Xenopus tropicalis: one gene and its partner. The protein of the gene in region 2 binds, or shares a complex with, the protein of the main gene of each other region. Links are inferred from orthologs where the notes say so. Each region holds a gene or a part of one and is shown on either strand. Other genes may lie near its edges.

Region 1 (9,167 bases), on a different chromosome or scaffold from region 2:
GCGCATGCACACTGACAGTCAAGGGAGGGGGTATGTAGCATGGGGCGGCTAGGCTGGGCACTGGGAGGCAGATTTATTGACATTCTGATTTTCGTAGAGGTTTTTGAAAACACAACTAAACACATTTACACTAAAACCACAAATGTCTACTCATTTATTAAAAGATACATTTAAAAAAGAACAAACAAATTAAAATGTGGCATAAAAACGACAAAAACACATTAAAAAATTTAAATTTTGCACCATTCATTATGCCTCATATCCAGGAAAAAGGTCAATGAGTTGTCTTGGGCTAAATGTAGCAATCCTTATTTGTGGTTTTAGGATTTTTTTTGAGTTTTTTTTTAAATTGTAAATCCACAAAGATTCGGAGGAAAACGAATGAGTTGTCTTGGGCTAATTACGTTTTCCTCCAAATCTTTGTGGATTTACAATTTAAAAAAACTCAAAAAAAAATCCTAAAACCACAAATAAGGATTGTTACATTTAGCCAAAGACAACTCATTGACCTTTTTCCTGGTTATGAGGCATAATGAATGGTGCAAAATTGTAATTTTTTTCCCAAAAATCATGAAAAAAAATACAAACGTTAGAAAATGGGCCACTTAGTGCTTAGAAATGTAAAAAAATAGCATGGGCATGCCGACAGAGGACTAATGGCTATGTGCTTGGTTACATGTTCATGTCAATCCCCTTTACAGTATTGCCCAGTGACAAATAATAAGGCATGTTTAATGTTTCCACTGTGTTGGTGGATGGAATACGCACCTCCTCTACACAGAGAGCCCCACGGGTGAATGCGATTTTGCATGTATATCACAGACCTGTGATTTTGTGTAGAGGGAGAACCCGGATTTTATTTGGGGGGGAAAAAGTGCAAAGAGGAAGGGAATCATTACAAACTGATTAAAAATAAAGAATAGAAACTGGCTGAAAAGTAGTCATCTTAATGTGAAGCTGAACTGCCCCTGTAGGATCTTCCTGTATAAGAAGAGTATTCACAAGTAGATATAGTTTGCTTCTCCAGTAATAGCAATATTTTTAGCAAAAACGAAATTCTAGCAATATGTGATTTGTAAAGCATAAAAGAGATGATACGTTAGTGCTGTATTCTATTAGCGTGGCCTAAATACATGTCAAATATTAGTTATTTAACCCACTATGTAGAAAGTGTTAGCGCTGCTTTAGGCCACAACTTTGATGTGTCAGTTAGTTAATCAGGCTGTTTATACCTACTCTGTAAGTGTCTGTGGTATTTGCACAGTCGTATTTATTAGTTATATATTATAATTTATATACGGTATGTTATATATTAATATGTCTGTTTTTTTAGAAGTCTTTATACCTGTGTAATGTAGAATAAAACTGCCAGTATTAAAAATAAAGAATTTATTGCATTCCAAGCCACAATTAAATAACTTAGATAAGAGACTTAAAAAGTCTACCTAGCACATAGGTTATAAAAAATATATATTGTTGACTAAGCAAACAGTGTCCATGAAAAAATCAGTCTTTGATTTCACAAATGGGTTACAAGGACAAAGAGGGAGGGGCTTTTTTACATTTGAATATCACAGCTTCAGTTACTCCAAGGCTTACGGAATGTGACTCAAGTGCAATCAAAGAATCAAACCAATGAGTTCTGCTGAGAATATCTCTTTTATTAGCTTCTTTATCCCCATTCTCCTCAGAAACGGAATTGTTACCACTGTGAGTGATGTTTTTATTGTCAGTAGCACCGAAGTGAAAGTTGACTTTCAGGTGATGATGAAGACACTGGCTGAGCAGTAACACAATTGCCCCTCCTACACGCACAACTCTGCAATACATAATATTTGGATTTATAATTTTCAAAATGCATTCATGCTGACACAGCAGGAATCTGAATGGGTCATTTACGAGTAAAAATGCACAAATTTTACCAGTCGTTGTGCAAAATAATTAAAGGTACAGGTATGGGATACATTATTTAGAAATCCATCATCCAGAAAGTTCCAAATTATGGGAAGGTCATCTGTCTTAGACTTTATTTTAATCAAATAATTAAAATACTTATATTCTTTTTCTCTGTGTTAATAAAACAGTACCTTGTAATAAGATTTAATAAATCCTTATTGGAGGCAAAACAGTCCTACTGGGTTTATTTAATGTTTAAGTAAATACAAAAAAGTATGGAGATTCCAATTATAGAAAGATAATGGGTCCCATACCTGTACTTGCATCAAAAGGCAAACCTTGCATGTCCATATAGTTGCGCTCGGTCCTTTCCACCTCCTGTCACTAAATGAATGCAGATGAACCCTGGAGCTACCGCCACCTCTGAAGAAGTCAGCAGCTCCAGGGTTCCCACAGCAGCCCATACTTGTGCCTAAAGGATTGTGCACAGACATCATTTTGACAGTGAGCACTGGAAATGACAAGTCAAGCAAATGCTTTTGTGGGTGTTTTAAGGGGGTGGTTCACCATTAACTTTTATGATGTAGACAGCGATATTCTGAGACAATTTGCAATTGGTCTTCATTTTTTGTTTTCTGTGGTTTTTCAGTTATTTAGCTTTATATATGGCAGCTCTCTGGTTTTGTACTTCAGCAGCTATCTGGTTGCTGGGGTCTTATTAATGGGGATTGTACAGAGACACACATACTCTTAAATACACTGCCCTTTCATATAGTGTGTGTCTAATAAAACTGTGTGAAAACTGCCATGGTTCCTGTAATTCCTTTACACCTAAAGCAGCTGTGCTTCCCCAGGGAATCAAGGCCAGTGCAGTGATCAACAGATGGAGCCGCCTGCACGATAATTGAAAAATGCTGCTTGCTGTGAGCTTGCCTTTCCATCTGAAGCTCAGACAAGGAAAGTAAACCTGCAGACTTCCAGCTGTTGCAAAGCTAAGATTCTCAGAATCATTTTATAGTCACAGGCAGGCTGAATTCAGCACACAGACAGCCAAGGGAAGGAACTATGGATAAAATGAGTGTCATGTCACAAATAACAAATTTCTATTTCCGAGTTCAACAAAATTGTTTCTAAACTAATAATCAAATATAATCCCCAGCAGAAGTAAAAGGTGAAACAAATGTCATTTCTTTTTACCTACGTTAGCTAATCTCCCCCTTGAATTTACTTAGTTTTTTTCCTAATGCATCAGTTAAAAGCACTGCCCCTGCAGCAGAATCCTGCATTAAAACCCTTTTTTTCAAAGGCGCAGATTTTTTTTTTTTTTTAAATTTATTTTTGAAATTTGCAGTGTGAAATATGCAAACACTCCCTTCCCCACAACAGCAGCAGATCAGCAGAACAATGGGAATGTAACATCAACAGCTCCCTGCCACCTGCATTGCTAAAATGCTCCCATGATCCATGATAAACATGAGAATAGCACTCAACAGTGAAAACCCAAGTCTGGACATGACTCGTCCAGTTCCACCGAGTAGGAAAAAAACAGTTCTATTGTGAAGTGATGGCTCTTTTTGAAAGCACGGGATCATCACCATAATCTGAGATGGCTGCCTACACACCAATATTACAACTAAAAAAAATACATTTATTGGTTCAAGAATAAAATTTTAAATGGTACAATGAATAATTTGCAATGTACACAGTGTAATTTAGTAAAAAAAAAAACTACACCATAAAAATATCCCCCTCCTGCTGTGCTTCTGGCAGGGACTGTTAGGACACGCCCACCCGTCATTTGAAACACAGACAGAGAACTGATAGGATCTATAAGGAGCTCCAATAAAGGGGCCATTTTCACAGATAGGATTAATGTTTAGCCCAAAGTGAAACCAGCACCGTATATTATTCATAATTGCCTACAAAATTAGGGTTTTTTTCCATTTATCCAATATGTCTCCTTTACAGTAACCTATATTACAAATAAACTACTGCAAGCCAAGTAACCTAGAACCCACCCTTTTAGCCACCTCAGATAATGGGTGGTGTGTATATCACAGCCTCATCAAACCATATTCATAATGTGTCTGGTTTACAAAAACCATAGGAATAAAATACCTTTGCATTTCTCGAATGATATCTGGAAGAAGATCTTTCATATTTTTCGAGGACGTGAACTTTCTTCCAAAGGGAATATCGCAAATCACTGCATCCATACTTTCAGAGACAAATGGCAGATCTACAAGATACAGAGGAATTGCTAATTATTTAAAATACACTTTATAATAGACCATTCTTAAAAGACCAGTATACCCTTACTTTTATTCCATATGGATTTCCCTTTCTCATATATTAAAAGTTGGATATTTATTTAAATTTTTGTTTATTTCTCTAAAGATTTTATGTTTGACCTATCTCTGTGTAGGTTTCCTCCAGGACACTGGTATCCTCTCACACTCCAAAACCTTACACGCAGGTTAATTTGATCATGATAAAACTGACCTCAGTTTGTGTAAATATAATGGGAAGCTCCACTGGTGCTGGAATTGATGTGAATGATGTCTTATCTGTAAGGTAGAATTGGCTCAGCCTTACATACAAATACATCCGGCTAGTGGGCTGAATGGCAAAAAGTCAGAATGATATGTATAGTAGAAAACTTCAGCACAGTGTTACTGGGAAAATCCAGTTAGATTGTTTCACATTGTAGTGTTGAGACTCTCATGAGCCACAGCCCTAAGTATTTTAATTGCCATTAAAAGAAATAAATAAAATACAGGAATAAGAACTATGCGCACTAAAGTATTTTCATTCTTGGAAGTCCCAGATTATTATTATTAACATTTATTTATAAAGTGCCAACATATTCCGCAGCGCTCTGATAAACGTCAGACACATGTTACTGCTGAGCTGCAAGTTAGAGTCATATCACCCCCTCCCTTTCCCCCTTTGCAGGTGATCAGCAGAACAATGGGAAGGTAGCAAGATAGCAGCTTCCAGTAGATATCAGAATAGTACTCAATAGTAAGAAATCCAAGTCCGGCCTGGGACTCCTCCGGTTCCATGGGAGTAGGAGAAACAATAGGTTATCTGAAAGCAGTTCTAATGTGTAGCGCTGGCTCCTTGTGAAAGCTCAGAATCCGGCACAATGTACTGAGACGGCTGCCTACACACCAATATTACAACTAAAAAAATACATTTGTTGCTTCAGGAATAAAACTTTAAATGGTAGAGTGAATTATTTGCTATGTAAACAGTGTAATTTAGAAATAAAAAGTATACTATAAAAATCATGACACTATCCCTTTAAATTTTACCTAGAACGGAACCTTTGAGTAACTCTATAGCGCCATCAAGACCAGCCCCCTTTACATTGGAAACTGCACTTTCGAGCTGTAAATCATTATTATCAACACCCAGGAAGTGACCAAACTGCAAGAAAAAAAAATATGCAGTTGTCATTAATACATACAAACAAAAATAAAACTACACTGTAGCAATGTTACAAAACGTGTAAAAGAATACATGGAATCATTATGTGACAGGTATGTCATCCATACTATAAATATGATATTGTTGTGTCCTTAATTAGTATAATTCTAGGGAAAATGAAAGAGGTCCTCCACCCAAAAACTGCATTTTGTATAGTGAAAACAATTCTTAGCAACATCCCAATATGCATTTGTTAAAAAATGCCAGTGGTTTTAAAGTTGTTTGTAAATGCAATTTAAGCTGAAAGCAGTGTCAGTCTGTCTACATTATCTGACTCCTGAAACAAGGCAGTTGATTGAAAGACCTGGAAGAGACCTAACTCCTGTTACTCCTGTATAATAAAAGTCAGACCCAACTGTAATCCATTTGGCTAGTGTCACACATAGCGAAATCTCGGCCTGCGTAAAAATGGAGGCCAAGAATCTGCCCCTACGCTACTGCTTTCTAATGTGCCTGTACCCGAAGTCACTGCACTGGCTGGGGGGCAGGCACAAGGAAATGATTTTGGCGTATAAAGTCTCACTTATTCATTTTGGCACTGCAATCCGCTCTGTGTGTCTGCACCCAGGCCACATGTGAAACTGGCCTTAGGGAGGCAGACAGGGGACTTTTTGCATCTTCTTTTTGCATTGAAAAAGTGTACTGCCTTCTATTTTATAGTGTTGCGATTTTTGCTTCATGCTGATTTTTCCTGACCACAGAGTAGGTCACAGTACCAGACCACAGGGTGTCACAAGTGCCAGTTCACATTTTGCAATATAACTGCAAATGCTGAAAGGAACTCCAAAATGTGGCATTCATTATCTCTGGTCTAATACAGATTAATTAAAATATAACTGGTTACCCCTTTATCCCTATGGAATTGCATTGAAATTTTTAAAATTAAGATTTGCAGACAGGTGTATTAAGAAACTTTATAGTAAAGCCTGAATTCATTTCAGTTTTTTTCTCTTTTATAAATGTTTACTAAAGCTTGTAAGAACAGATGTTCAATTGAGTTAAAAACATCAGTCAAATTCCAACACTTGCTGCATACTTACAGGCCATTCTTTTGCAGCCTCCAACAATATTGTTCCCACACCACACATAGGATCCAGAACAAGTGCTCCTACCTACAAATAAAACAGGAACATTAAATGCTAAAATATTCTTGCTGATGGGTACAGAGGAAGACTTACTGTATTAGAGACAGAAAGGCTTATTTAAAAGTATATTGGAATGGATTTATGCACATACAGAGCTCATTCATAAATGGCATTTGCACCAAAGGTGCCCTGTGTGCTTCTTTGTACTAGAATTATCATACTGACTTTGCCTCTAGTATCTATTATGGATTAACAAATCCTGAAAACAGAACTCTGGGTACATATAAAAAATGTAAAACAATACTGAGAAGGGACTAAGATTGTTTAAAGGAGAAGGAAAAGGATTTTAGGCATTTTACTGCCAACAGATTTGCCACATTAGTGCAAGCTAGAACGCAATATTTATTCTGCTGAAAGCTTTACCATACCCGAGTAAACAGCCCTAAAAGCTCCCTCTGTTTGTTTAAGATAGCAGCTGCCATTTTACCTTGGTCTCAGTAGCTTCAGTGCTGCAGATCTGACTGCTGGTAGCTCAGATTACACAAGTTGGGAGGAGGGAGCAAATTCTTATGGGAGGGGGAGTGAATTCTGATGGGGGGAGGAGAAGGGAGGAGCAAACTGAGCAGACTCCTGCCCCTGCCTGGAAGAATTTTTCTGAGAGCAGGAAGTCTGACACAGAATAACATGTGTACATATGTGTTTTTTTAGACAGAGGACTCAATGCAGCATTTCTGTGAGTGCTTATGGCTGTATTTACATAGACCTTTCTGATAAAGCTTACTTACTTACTTTTTACCTTTCCTTCTCCTTTAAGTCAAACTGAACAACAGAAACATAAAATACATTAGTGTTTAAAATACATTAGTGATATCACAGTGTGCCATGGTACTGTATTGCAACAATTTTGGTTTTGATTCTTTAACTCAATACAAATATTATTCCCCAAACACTATGACTGTATTAACTTTAGTATTACTATAATGCCCTTCTGCCCTCACAAATTTCACTGCTGGTGAAATACTTTTATTTATTTTTTTATGCAGATTTACAAAAAAATGTCTTTATTGTTATTAACACAGTAAATATACAGGCTACACATATAAATCAGATTTAATATAGGCATTTATTTCTTGCTGCTCCCAGTCTGACTACAAAATCTAACAATAATACTAAAAAAGGGGAATATGGAGCAACTTACATGTAGTTCAGCAAGTGTGCCCATAGCCCAAGCTGTAGTAGATCTTAGGCCTGTATTTCTTATATAGTCTCTTTTTGCCAAAGGTTGCCTGCAAACCATAAAAGGAAACATATCTTGATTTACTTACATAGCCTTGTCTCTGTGATAAAGTCAAATTAAGTCAAAGGCCACAACATGACAGCTGCTTACACAATATGACAGCTGATTACCCATGATACACTGACATACACAGAGGAACCCCATCTGTGAGCGTTATTGACCTAGTCACTAACACTAGGATAGTAATATGGTTTAACACTTTATTATTATTTATTAACACTTTATTATTTATTATTTATATGGATTCTATTGTAAAAAAAAAAAAATCAGCCTGTATAACATCTGAAGTATTCTTTTCAACTGAATCTGAAACCCAAAATTTGGTTTTGAACCAGTTATGCATCTGAATTACAATTTTTTATTGCAGAAAAATATGTCACATTATTAAGGAGATTATAAAGGCCCATGCTGAACAGCACTGGGGTCCTAACCCATAGGTTTAGAATCTCTGACCTAGAAAATTTTATCCAATATTACCAGGTTTACCAACGACTGGAATGAAAGTATTGTGTTTTTTGTTTTTTTTTTTTTTTACAAAACAACACCATCAATATGGGCTGTTTTATTACTTTTCTTATAATATTTACATTATTGAAAAATTCTGCAGTAGCGTAGTATGGTGTTGTTCAGTCAGGCTATGAAGAATTAATGTTGAAAACTGAGGGATCCTAGGGATGTAGTGCAATATGTGTGGATTTACAAAAATATCAAGAAGGCATGAAAATCTACAAAATACACAACACTGTAGGGTGTCTGCAGTTTTACAAATTGATCACTAGAATAACACAAAAGGAAGACAAAGTTAGGACCATATGTGATACTGTTGAAAGATAGGTGTGGTATAAGAAGAAAACAGTTACCTGGAGATTGGAAACCCAACCACAGAATACAGATCATTCAAATGTACAAAAACCTAGGTGAAAAACCAGAACGTAACTGTTATGAAGTGCTGCACAATAGCATGGCAACATGTTTAAGTGTCTGGACTCAAGGGACTTATATGCAAGGGTTGGCTTGTGACTTTAAATCAGTGATTGGGACAGTTGGTCAATTACCAGAAGAAAAAAAAATCCACAAAATTTGAGTAGATTGTATAAAATAAAAAATGTGCTCAGGATCAAAAGCAAAATAACAGTTATATACCATATGGCTCCCAAGTGGCTGACTAACAGCTGTTAAGAACAAAATAGTGTTCTGGCTATAATGTTAGACTTCTGTTCACTCAAGCCTTTATAGATTATATTTTGGGCTAACTAACTATATTGAAAACATTTTTTATTTTCCAAAGCCTATCTATTTATCCAGTTTTATTTTTACACTAAACTGTTCCTTTAAGGATACATTTTGTCACCTGCACTAAAATCACCTCCAGTGCAGGAGACAAAACATCAGAAAAT
Region 2 (11,001 bases):
ACATGGCCCTGAAAATTATAGCTACTAACCTCCAAACCATAACCCCCCCTTCATAAATGTTGGCACTGCTGAGTATGATATTGTTACTGTAGTTCAGGTACAACATCCCAACTTAATGTACAGGCCTTTAGTGTGACTTCATGCCAGTTTAAAGGATTTTTTAAAGTATAAATATTGTTTGCTCCTAATATATAAGACAATATATGTAAAGTTGTATTCTCTGAACCCCCTGCCCTACTTCATTGTCAAATTGTTATCCTGTGCAACCATAACCCCAGCTCATTTCTGTAAAACAAACATCAAGACTGCACTATACAACATGGTTGTAAAAACGTTATGCAATCTGACCACTAGATGTCACTACAGTAAGGTATAATCCGTGGAAACTTTATACTGCAATAAGTGCAAAGACCACCGAGTGTCACTGTACCAGGTCATAAAACAATTGCCAGAGGGTGAAATCATTGTATTATTATTATTATTTTTGTGTATAAGATAACAATCATTAGTATAATTGTGGAAAATGAAATGGGCAATAAGCCACATAAGGTATATGCCCACATTTCACAAAATAATGTTTTTTTTCTGCAGACCATTTAGCCAACAATGCACTTTTTTTCAGTAAAATTCTAATATTACTTTTAATTATCCCTTTTCCCTCTGTATTTCCACCACAATTTCCAGAGCCCAAGCCTGTGTTTATGTTTAATTAATTTAGGCATTGATTGCTGTATTCATTTTATTTCTATGATTTTATTTCTGTTCTCTGAAGCCACCATGAGCCCCACCTGTATATAAACCTATAGAATAATGTGGATATGTAATATACCTCATTGCTTATAAATATATTTAGATCCTTGTATACTGATAAGGCCCAATGGAGCCTGGACTGCAATAAACATCAGGGAGATTTCATGCTGTGTCTGTTAATTCACTATATGTGTTCTGTGCAGCACAACACACACAAGTGTACAGCAATAATCAAACAGAACATTTATTGAAACCACACACAAAATAACAGCTGGGTTATATATTTACATAAGTGGAAACATTGTGCTTATTAGGACTCTTCTTCATTAATTAACATATTGGGGATTCCTCTGGTGATAGGAAATTCTGTGCCGGATTCTGGACATTTCAATGCACCTTCAATGACCTCAACCTAGGAGACAAAAAGAATGTTATTTAGGAATATGACCAACTTTAGCCATCCCTTTACCTCCTCTTTTATGTTTATCTATTTAAAAAAAAAGTCAAAAAGTGAATTTAGCCCTCGGAAACTCTCCTGCCCTAAATATACATCATTTGGGATTTTGTTAATCATGTTTTGTTGCGGTAACAAATACCAGAAGATCCCTAGTCATTGTGGGTGCTGAGAATTGCTGCAATTAAAGAGGTTGTTCACCTTTAAGTTAACTTTTGGTAAATTATATAATGGCCTATTCCTAGCAACTTTTTTTTATTGCTCTTCATTTTTATTTCTTATAGTTTTTAAATTATTTGCCTTTTTCTACTTTTTTCAAAGCCAAAATCTATTGGTCGTTGAGGCTACAATTTTCTTGTCCTTGTTACTTTATTATTTATCTTTCTATTCTTCCCCCTCTGCTAATCATATTCCAGCCTCTCATGCAAACTACTGTCTGGTTGCTAGGCTAATTTGGACCCTGGGAACCAGTTAGGACATTTTGTAACATATTAAAATTAAACTATTTCTAGCAACATTGTAAATAGTCAAATTACTTGCCTTCCTCTTTTACATCTTTCCGGCTTTCAAATGGGGGTCATTGACCCTGGTAGCTAGAAGACTATCGCTTTGTGAGGCTACAATTTTATTATTGTTACTTTTTATTACTTATCTTTCTTTTCAGACCCCCTTTAATTCATATTCCAGTCTTTCATTCAAACTACTGCCTGGTTGCTAAGGTTATCAAGATCCTAGCAACCAGATAGCTGCTTAAATTCCAAACTGGAGAGTTGGTAAACAAAAAGCTAATTAACTGAAAAACCACAAATAATGATAAAATGAAGACAAATTGCTTCTCTTAGAATATCATTGTCTACATCATATTAAAACTTAATTTAAAGGTGAACAACCTCTTTATAATACTGGGCAAACCTTCCTTTGTATGTATTTTGACAACATTTTAGTGATTTACTGGTAGCGATTCTCAGCACAATGGCAAAGAATTTTTTTTCACTGCCCTAAAAAAGACATTTACGGTATAAAATGAAATTGGAGAGAAAATATTCTACACTACAAAATCAGTTCACATTTACTGGTGTTTGTAAGAACTATTACCTCCAATAATACGTGGTGAACTTTCTTCAAGAAATCTTCATTCTTTTCGTATCCTGTCTCCAACTCTCGGGGTAGATCTGAGCCATGCCCAAGCTATAAAGCAAATGAAACAGGAGGTGAGAGAGGCAGTAGATACATAGGTTGCATCTTTGCACTGAGTGTACAACTGGGTCCTCCTGTCATAGAAAGAGATAATGAGCATAGTACTCCTGTCTGTCACAGATATGCCATTAAAGCTGACCCAGCAGTGTGGTGTTAAAGTATGCTATAGAATAGCCAATTCTAACCAACTTTTCAATTGGTCTTTATAGTTTTTTAATTATTTGCCGCCTTCTTCTAACTCTTAGCAGTTTTCAAATGGGGGTCACCAACCCCAGCAACCACAAAACTATTGCTCTGTGAGGCTACAGGTTTATTGTTTTTGTTTATACTTAGTAAACTAAAGAGCTGCTGAGCAAAAAGTAATATAACTAAAAAACTACAGATACAAAATGAAGACTAACTGCAAATTGTCTCAGAATATTACTCTCTACATCATACTAAATGTTTACTCAAAGGTAAACAATGTATAAACACAATGTAGAGAATGTTTAATACATCTTTTTCCACAAGTGTGTTTATTTGCCTTTTTCTTAGATATAAATGGATTATAAATGCACTTCCTCAACATAACCTGCCAAAAACAACCATGCTATTGGGCAGGCTGCCATTTCTAATCACTGACCCATGCCGCAATCAGCATATGAGAGCACAAGATTTACTACATATCACAAGCGCTTAGAGATTTCTTTAATTATAATAATGGTCTAACCGCTGCACTTAAAAAAAATGAAAAGCTACCATATAACGTAACTCCCCCTGCCTGTGGGGGTGCAGCTTTAAGCAGAACCAAGACAAGTAGTATTGCTGCTGCACCCCCACCTGATCTATCCACAGGCTGCAACACACAACTAACCCCCACACCCAACCCACTTCCCCTGCTCAGTTTGGAGAGGCTCTCTGACACTTGTTCCTTCTGCTCCTTTCTGTTTGATCCTGCCCTTTGCCATTTGCTCCTCCTTAAATTGCACCCAGACAGGTGCTGCTTACCTCCTTGTTCCAGCCATTTCCTTCTGTATTGTCTATTCCCTTCCAGTGAAAATTTTCACTTTGATGAAAGAGTATCTTTGCCGCTAATGCCTTTACAACATAATCACTTGCAAGTATGCAATGTGCTTGCAGTTATTACACAAAAATGTGGGTGTGAAAGCTTTAATGAAATAATCACGCAGAAGCAATTTGCAGCAATTCATGGGGTTTTGCTGCTGCAACGTTGCTGCATTAGAAAATCACCATGTGTGACATTGCCCTTAGATCAACTAAGTGGAAAACACAGTCCCACAAAGGTTTGTACTCACACTCTCTGCGGCTTCCACAAGAGCGCCCCACTCCAGTTTAGGAATCATACGAGTCACAAAATCCTGATTGAAATCAACAGCACTAAGCTTGACCTCCTCTGCCTGTGGGAAAAAAAGACATTCTCATTAAATGGTAACATCTGAGTCAACTATTTGTGGTCTTTGTCATGTTAGCTTGTGCCACGTGTGCAGCCAGCCACCAGTTTTATTTATTTTGCCAGTCACTGTGCATTATTTATCACACATATATATTACCCTTTCTGCATTACCCAGTGGCTGGGGTGCCACCTCGTCCATCATGTTATGCTTGGGGGGCAGGTCACTGCCATGATTCTAAATATTTGCCTAACCTGTGAGTACACTGACAGGGTCCAGACAATTAGCATTAAAGTCAATGTAGGAGTGGCTGCCAGAGGTGAGCCCAACCCAGAGCCAAATAATGCACAGGCATTACCCTTTTCCTTATGGACCCAGATGAAATATGGCTGACAGCCTTGTAACCTTTGGAATTCAATTCCTAACCCAGTGCACACTATATGGACAAAAGTGCCTATCCAACATTTCATTCCTAAACCAACGGTATTAATATAAAGTTGGTCTTCACTGCTGCTTTACCTGCCTCTACTCTTCTGGGAAGGATTTCCACTAACTGCTAATACAGTGTTGGTAAGATTGCTTCCATCCAGGCACAGGGGCATGATGAGGTTGGTACTGATGCTGTGGATCAGGAATGATAATATAGATATGGGTTACAGTCAGCATTTCAATTTATCCCCCTGGTGCTCAGTTGGGATGAGGTCAGGACTCTGTATGAATGTTGCTTTGTGCCCAGGGGACATTATAATCGTGCGACAGGAAAGGGTCTCCCCGCAATCCCTTGCCACAAAGTAGGAAGCATTTAATTGTCACAAAGGTCATTGTGTGCTTTAGCCTTACGCTTTGATTTCAGCGGCACCAATGACCCTGCCAAACCCATTATTCCTTCTCCTTGGTGCCACTGTTACTAACAATAACTCAGATAGGAACAGCCGTAGTTTTTAATAAACGATGTAACCTACAAGGAGAGAGCACCCCAGTCTGTATTCCTTCATTAAACCAATACCACGGACTGATGAAGCAGATGACTGGCCCCAACATTGCTTTATTCTGTTTTATTATAAAGGGGATACAACGCCAGGGCTGTATCTACTACAGTTACTGCTACACAAATCCCATTTTGGCTGTACAACAGGGGTAGAGCCAATGAATACTAGTAAATGAAATATCAGTAAGTGACATGCAATGCACAAAGCGCAACAAATACCCGGATGAGTAGCGGGAAGCCCCGGGTCACCCCGGAAACGTGGCTTCGCAACATATTATGCGTCAGTAGCTTCATGGTCTTCGGTACCGCTAACCCACGTGTAACCCTCCGCAGCTCCTTCCTGGAATTCTACCTCAGTCCCCACCAACCAATGCCCTTATTCCGAAAAGCACCGCCCACTGTTCCCAGCTACCCCTAGCGACAGACTAACAGAACACCTCCCACCAATCGCTCCTAGGGAGCCGCCATATTCGCTGTGATTGCGCATGTACGCGGTAACGTCATTACGCTGGCGCTAGTGGGAGGAGCGATACTTGTAAACAAACATGGCTCCTTTTATATCGTGAAACATAAAAAACGGGAGACATAGATTTCAGTAATAAAATTGTGCTAAAGCGTTTCGTTTTGTTCTTTAACTTTTGTATTACGAGGTAAATGTTCTCTTTATTAACAATGATGTGTTCAAACCAATAACTACGGGTTGTTATAGATGATAGAAGAATTAGAGATTTGATTTTTTATATTATATTTCTGGATTTGTGTGATAGCTGCTTATTTAGAAATACAGCCTTGACACCCTGGTCATTATACAGCTAGCTTAGGTACTTAGGTACTGAAATGATGCTGTCCTGCAAGGGGCTTAAATCATAGGAAATGGCAGTATGACAGCCCAATTCACAAGCCACATTGGCTCACTTCATGATTTGCACTGATCCTGAATTTAGAAAAATAGATATTAATACTTTTAAAACATAGTCACACAATTGGATAATCACTAATAAGTGTATATCAAACCATACTGACTAAAAAAGCGATCTAAGTAAATAAAAGAGTGATCTAAGTAAACGTATGCTTCGATTGAACAAAAAAATGATCTCTTAAATATAGTTAATATTAAATTGCCATGTTTATCTTCCAAATGTGAAGGTGCACAAAAATGAATCCATTTGTGTTCACATGTTAAATATAAGTTGCTTTTCCTTATTACACATATTGTAATTCTGTGTATTTATAATAGCGAGATCCTGGCATTGTCACAAATTATTCATTTATATGTTACCCATGTAGGAGTAGCCCACAAGCTCAGTAAAACAAATGAAAGGCCATAGAATATTGGTGGGGAAGGGGGGTGGGGCTTGTGGTTAATCTTTATAAAAGCATTATTAAAATTACACCCAAGTTCATCCAAGAGTCACTAGTTATAAATATTGAATACAAATTTGAAAACCCTTATAAAAATAATATAACACACAATTTTTGTCATACAGTTCAAGAGCAACCCAAATGCTAATAGGCCAAAAACGCCTAAATGTCCTTAAGAATTTTAAGGGAATTTTGGTGACCATTTGTGGCGGCTCTTTGATTTAGCAAAATCCAGTTTTAAGGGGCAGTTAAAGCAGGGTGCAATTAGAACATGCAAGAGAGAGAGAGAGATTAAAAGCTTCAGCTTAGGATATGTGTGTGGTTCATCTGAACAAGATTTATTATTGCATGTTTGTACTAAAAAGGAAAAAGTGTCAGTAGGCGAAAGAATGATTAAAGATTTGATTATTACATCTTTAGCTTTGTATTTAACAAGTACAAAACCTGAAGAACCCAGTGGTGTAAATAGCTGTGCAGCAGTTACACTCTGTCAAAATAGGCCCTGGCATTTTACGTAAACAGAGGCCCAAACAGCCCCCCCCCCCCCCCAATAGCCAACTAAATAGTGACTGTCTATGGCATCTTACAGCAACCCCTCTGGCATTTGCCAGAATCCACAGATTGCCAGTCTGGGCCTTGCCCTTGGTCTCCTTATTTAAACATTCAGACCTATGATAGACAACATTCTTTTAAAGCATTATTAATTAACCACAAACTAACCTTACTACTACTTAGTAGATGCTTATTACATACATAAATTACACCTTTTATTTAGCACCTATACAATGGAATAGAAGGAGTGTATTCCACAGAAAATGCTGATGTCTTTTGCCACTAGAATGCGGCCATGTAAGTAAAGTAATCCTTACAGCTATGTATTTCTAATGTGTGTTCTTTGTGCACAGGTCAGAACACATGCAAGCTATTGCCAAACAACTGGCTTCATATTTAGGTGGAGACAACTACCCTGAAATTATAATAAAGCCTGATACAGATGATCAGGTTGCTAAAAACAGATCTGAGCAATAACTCATTAAGAATAATTCTGCCTTTAAAAACAACGTGAGCTATACTTCCAGCTTTACAATTCATAATATTTTAAGCTAATATATTCTTCTAATATAGATCAAAACTGAAACTGTATTAGAGTGTGGGGAATATACTTTTTAAACAAAGATTGAAAGGATAATTTACTTTCAGTTGCGTGATCGAGGGGTCTATTCTGTGGTTCCACTTTGCCCCCTAGCTCCTGTTGGTGCCTGTCTGCCTCAAACAAGCAAGCACTGTTTTACTAGTTCAGTACTAGCAGTTTTGATTGGCTAAAACATGAAATCAGTCTGGATTGAGGACTCCCTTTGGTCCATTTGCCACCAGACTGCATAGGTCTGCAGTGCCACCTAGTGGTCGGTTAATCAAGCTTTAATATTTAGCCAAATTGTACAATATGTATTGTAGGACAAAAGACAAGTTTAACATGCAAAGTTTGAGCACATCCTATCTTTTTATTCACTTTTTTCACATACCTTTATTATAGTATGGTCATGAGGGGGAAACACACCCGATTCAATTGCAGATAATGCGCTTAAGAAGCATGCAACTGCACTTGCACTTGCACTTCGACTTGAATTGGACACAATGCAGAGAAAATTTTATTTGTCATGATATCATTTAACATCTGTGTACAATTCTCAGGGCACATGATGCAGGTTGCCATGGAAACTTAGAGGTGCCAACACATTTGGGGTGGCAGTAGCTTCAGGGTTACCCTGTGCTAGGTTTTGGAGATATTGCTTCCTATGGTGGAAGATATAAGAGCAAAGGTAGTAATGCCATTGGTTTATAAACTGAATCTTTGGTGCTCCTATAAGCAAAGCTGCAGACTACATTAAGTAGTTATAATATATTAAAGGGAATAAATGCAAGCATTCATTTTGGCCAGATGGTCTAATGCAATTCTAAGCAATTTTTCAGTATACATCAATTTTGAATTGTTTTAAACTTGTTTGTAAATGACAGTGTAGGGACCCATAGGGTTAAATGGTCCCTATGGCTTTAAATCCCTACAGGTTCAGTTCCCTTAGTTGCTGGGCAGAAGGGAATGTATCTAAGTGAGTTCATTAACATGTGTGTGCTATTGGTTAGAAGGTATAGTGACCACATCCTGCCTGACTTTGTTATAGTGTGGGGAGAGGAGTGGCACCTTCCTGTTTGTTTGCTGCCACCTTAGGGACAAGGTGGATGTGTGCTGAGAGCCCAGGGCGTGGGCCCAGGCCCAGTGAAGTCGGGGAACAGGGCCCCGTGAATGAGGCATTAGATAGTGGCAGGTGTAGCTCCCTTTATAGTACGCTCTAGGAGTGTAAGGCAGTTAGGGCTGAGCTAGAATGAGCAGCATTGAGCTCCTTCATAGGATTTGCAGTTTTTCTGGAGATATTTCTCCCAGGCCACATTGCCTGTAGTGTAGGGATCCAAGTGAATAGGGCTCTGGGTGTCGAAGAACAGAGGCCGAAATGAAGGCATCCTTCGGGGACTGGAAGGCTTCAAGGGCCACAGGAGGCCAACAATTGGGTCTCCCTCCTTTGCGGATGAGGGAAAGGATAGGAGAAATGCGGGAAGAAAAGCCTTTAATGAATTGGCGGTAATAGTTCGCAAATCCTATAAACCTCTGGATTGCTTTAGTACTCTGGGGAAGTGGCCACTTCTGGATAGCAGATACCTTGGCAGGATCCATTTCGAAGCCCCTAGACGAGATAATGTAGCCCAGGAAGGAGATCTTTGGTACTTCGAAAGTGCATTTCTCCAACTTGGCGAAAAGAGAATTTTCTCTAAGGCGAGAAAGGGCTTCTTTGACTTGGGAGCGATGGGTCTCCAAATCTTGAGAGAAGATAAGGATGTCATCCAGGTACACGACAACAGACTTCCCCAGGAGGTCCCGAAAAATATCGTTAACGAACTCTTGGAAGACGGCTGGAGCGCTGCAGAGGCCGAAGGGCATCACGAGGTACTCGTAATGCCCATCACGGGTATTGAAAGCCGTCTTCCACTCATCGCCCTCTCGGATCCTGATGAGATTATAGGCCCCGCGGAGATCCAACTTAGAGAAAATCTTGGCCCCTTTAAGTTGGTCAAAAAGTTCAGAAATAAGGGGTAAAGGGTATCTGTTCTTAACAGTTATTTTATTGAGACCCCGGTAGTCAATACAGGGGCGGAGTCCACCGTCCTTCTTTTCGACAAAAAAGAAGCCAGCTCCTGCTGGGGAGGTAGAAGGACGGATAAATTCACGCTGGAGATTCTCAGAGATATACTCCTTCATGGCAGCCGTCTCTGCAGGGGATAAGGGATAGGTCCGCCCACGGGGTGGCATGGTTCCAGGAAGGAGATCAATAGGGCAGTCATACCGCCGATGCGGGGGAAGAAACTCTGCTGACTTTTTACAAAAAACATCAGAGAAGTCCCTGTAGACGGAGGGCAGAGCTGAAAGACTCGTAGAGGAGACTGTAACCCGCTGGAGTGGCTGAGGAATTAAACAATGTCTTTGGCAGTACTGACTCCAACGGGAGATTTGACCCGATGACCAGTCAATGGAGGGGTTATGGAGTCGTAGCCATGGCAACCCCAGCACAACAGGAGACGAAGGACATGGAATGATCAGGAATGACATCTTTTCCAGATGTAGTGCTCCAATCTGGACAGATAGTTCACCGGTGGTTAAAGTGATGGTGTCCGTGGAGAGAGGTCTGTCATCGATGGCGAGTCATTGGAAAGAGGGAAATGCCAACCTTTTTTGCGAATGCCAAGTCCATAAAGTTTCCTGGAGCTCCGGAATCAAGGAAGGCTGAGACTGGAATTGCCTGGGAGGACAACCGGATCTGCACAGGAACATGAAATTGGTGAGATTGTTCCGCTGACTTAGGAACAATACTACCAGCAAAAGAAACAACAGTCTTACTTGAAGCAGGAGTATTCCCCAGCTTGACAGGGCAGGAAACCGCTAAGTGGGATTGTCCGCCGCAGTACAGACATAGGCCGGAAAGGCATCTCCGAAGCTTCTCAAACTGAAACAAACTGAATCTGGCATTGAGTCACGAATCCCCTGCAGGCCTGCGGATTGCCACTGTAGCGCGGAGGAGGAGGTATTCGTGGCTCACGAGCTGGCGACATCGCTGGCAGAGGAACCATCACAGCAGGAGGAATTTCCGCGACAGCGGGAGTAGCGGGCAAATGGGACAAAATGGAATCAAGTACTTGCCCAATTCTGACTTGCTGGGATTCATACGCCTCCATACGGGACGCCAGCCCGCGAAGGGCTCTTCCGACGTCCGGTACCGCTTCCTCGGGATCCATGGCCCGAGTATAATGTCAGTGGGGGCCTCCGGCACCCACGGGAAAGGTGAAGTCAGGATCAAGGAGGAAGGCCGCTTCCAGCGAGTCCGAGCGAAGTACAGATGCAGGGTAATCCAATAGCGAGGTCAGGTTCAGGCAAAGGTCACTTAAGGCAGGCAGCAAGGTTCAAGGTCAGGAACAGGCAATTAAACAGCAACAGGAAAGCAGATGAGACAAATAGAGACCCAGGAACACAATAGGTATATTGAGCTATAATCGGGCATTGAACCTGGGTCTCTGGCGTCCTTTTAAGTTTGAATTTGGCGCCATAGCGCGTGACGTCATCGCGCCGGCGTCCTTGCGCCCACGTGGAGTCCTGGGCGCCGCCATCTTGGATCCGCCACGCTGAGAAAGAGGACGCCGCCGCACACCAGGTAGGGAGCGCTTCGTGACAGGAAGAAAGAACCAGCACAGAGCTGTCTGTGAGCAAACACACCTGTGTAAAATGCTGGAAGCAACTGGCAATAGCCCAGACTTCT

The links. The genes of interacting proteins can lie anywhere in the genome.
Region 1: trmt112 (region 2) and thumpd2 share a complex: the UniProt entries of both Homo sapiens proteins name them as parts of the heterodimeric THUMPD2-TRM112 methyltransferase complex. The link is inferred for Xenopus tropicalis from reciprocal best matches to the Homo sapiens genes TRMT112 and THUMPD2.

What each region holds. Positions count from the first base shown.
Region 1 is NC_030681.2:42,408,997-42,418,163, reverse strand, and holds the end of thumpd2 (THUMP domain-containing protein 2), read right to left. Parts: intron 8,684-9,167; coding exon 8,631-8,683; intron 7,760-8,630; coding exon 7,672-7,759; intron 6,501-7,671; coding exon 6,429-6,500; intron 5,329-6,428; coding exon 5,214-5,328; intron 4,136-5,213; coding exon 4,015-4,135; intron 1,820-4,014; coding exon 1,531-1,819; 3' UTR 1,375-1,530; downstream 1-1,374. UniProt on the Homo sapiens protein: Catalytic subunit of the THUMPD2-TRM112 methyltransferase complex, that specifically mediates the S-adenosyl-L-methionine-dependent N(2)-methylation of guanosine nucleotides, most probably at position 72 (m2G72), in the U6snRNA of the major spliceosome.
Region 2 is NC_030680.2:35,168,759-35,179,759, reverse strand, and holds trmt112 (multifunctional methyltransferase subunit TRM112-like protein), read right to left. Parts: upstream 5,104-11,001; 5' UTR 5,075-5,103; coding exon 5,000-5,074; intron 3,799-4,999; coding exon 3,697-3,798; intron 2,393-3,696; coding exon 2,300-2,392; intron 1,163-2,299; coding exon 1,061-1,162; 3' UTR 979-1,060; downstream 1-978. UniProt on the Homo sapiens protein: Acts as an activator of both rRNA/tRNA and protein methyltransferases. Together with methyltransferase BUD23, methylates the N(7) position of a guanine in 18S rRNA.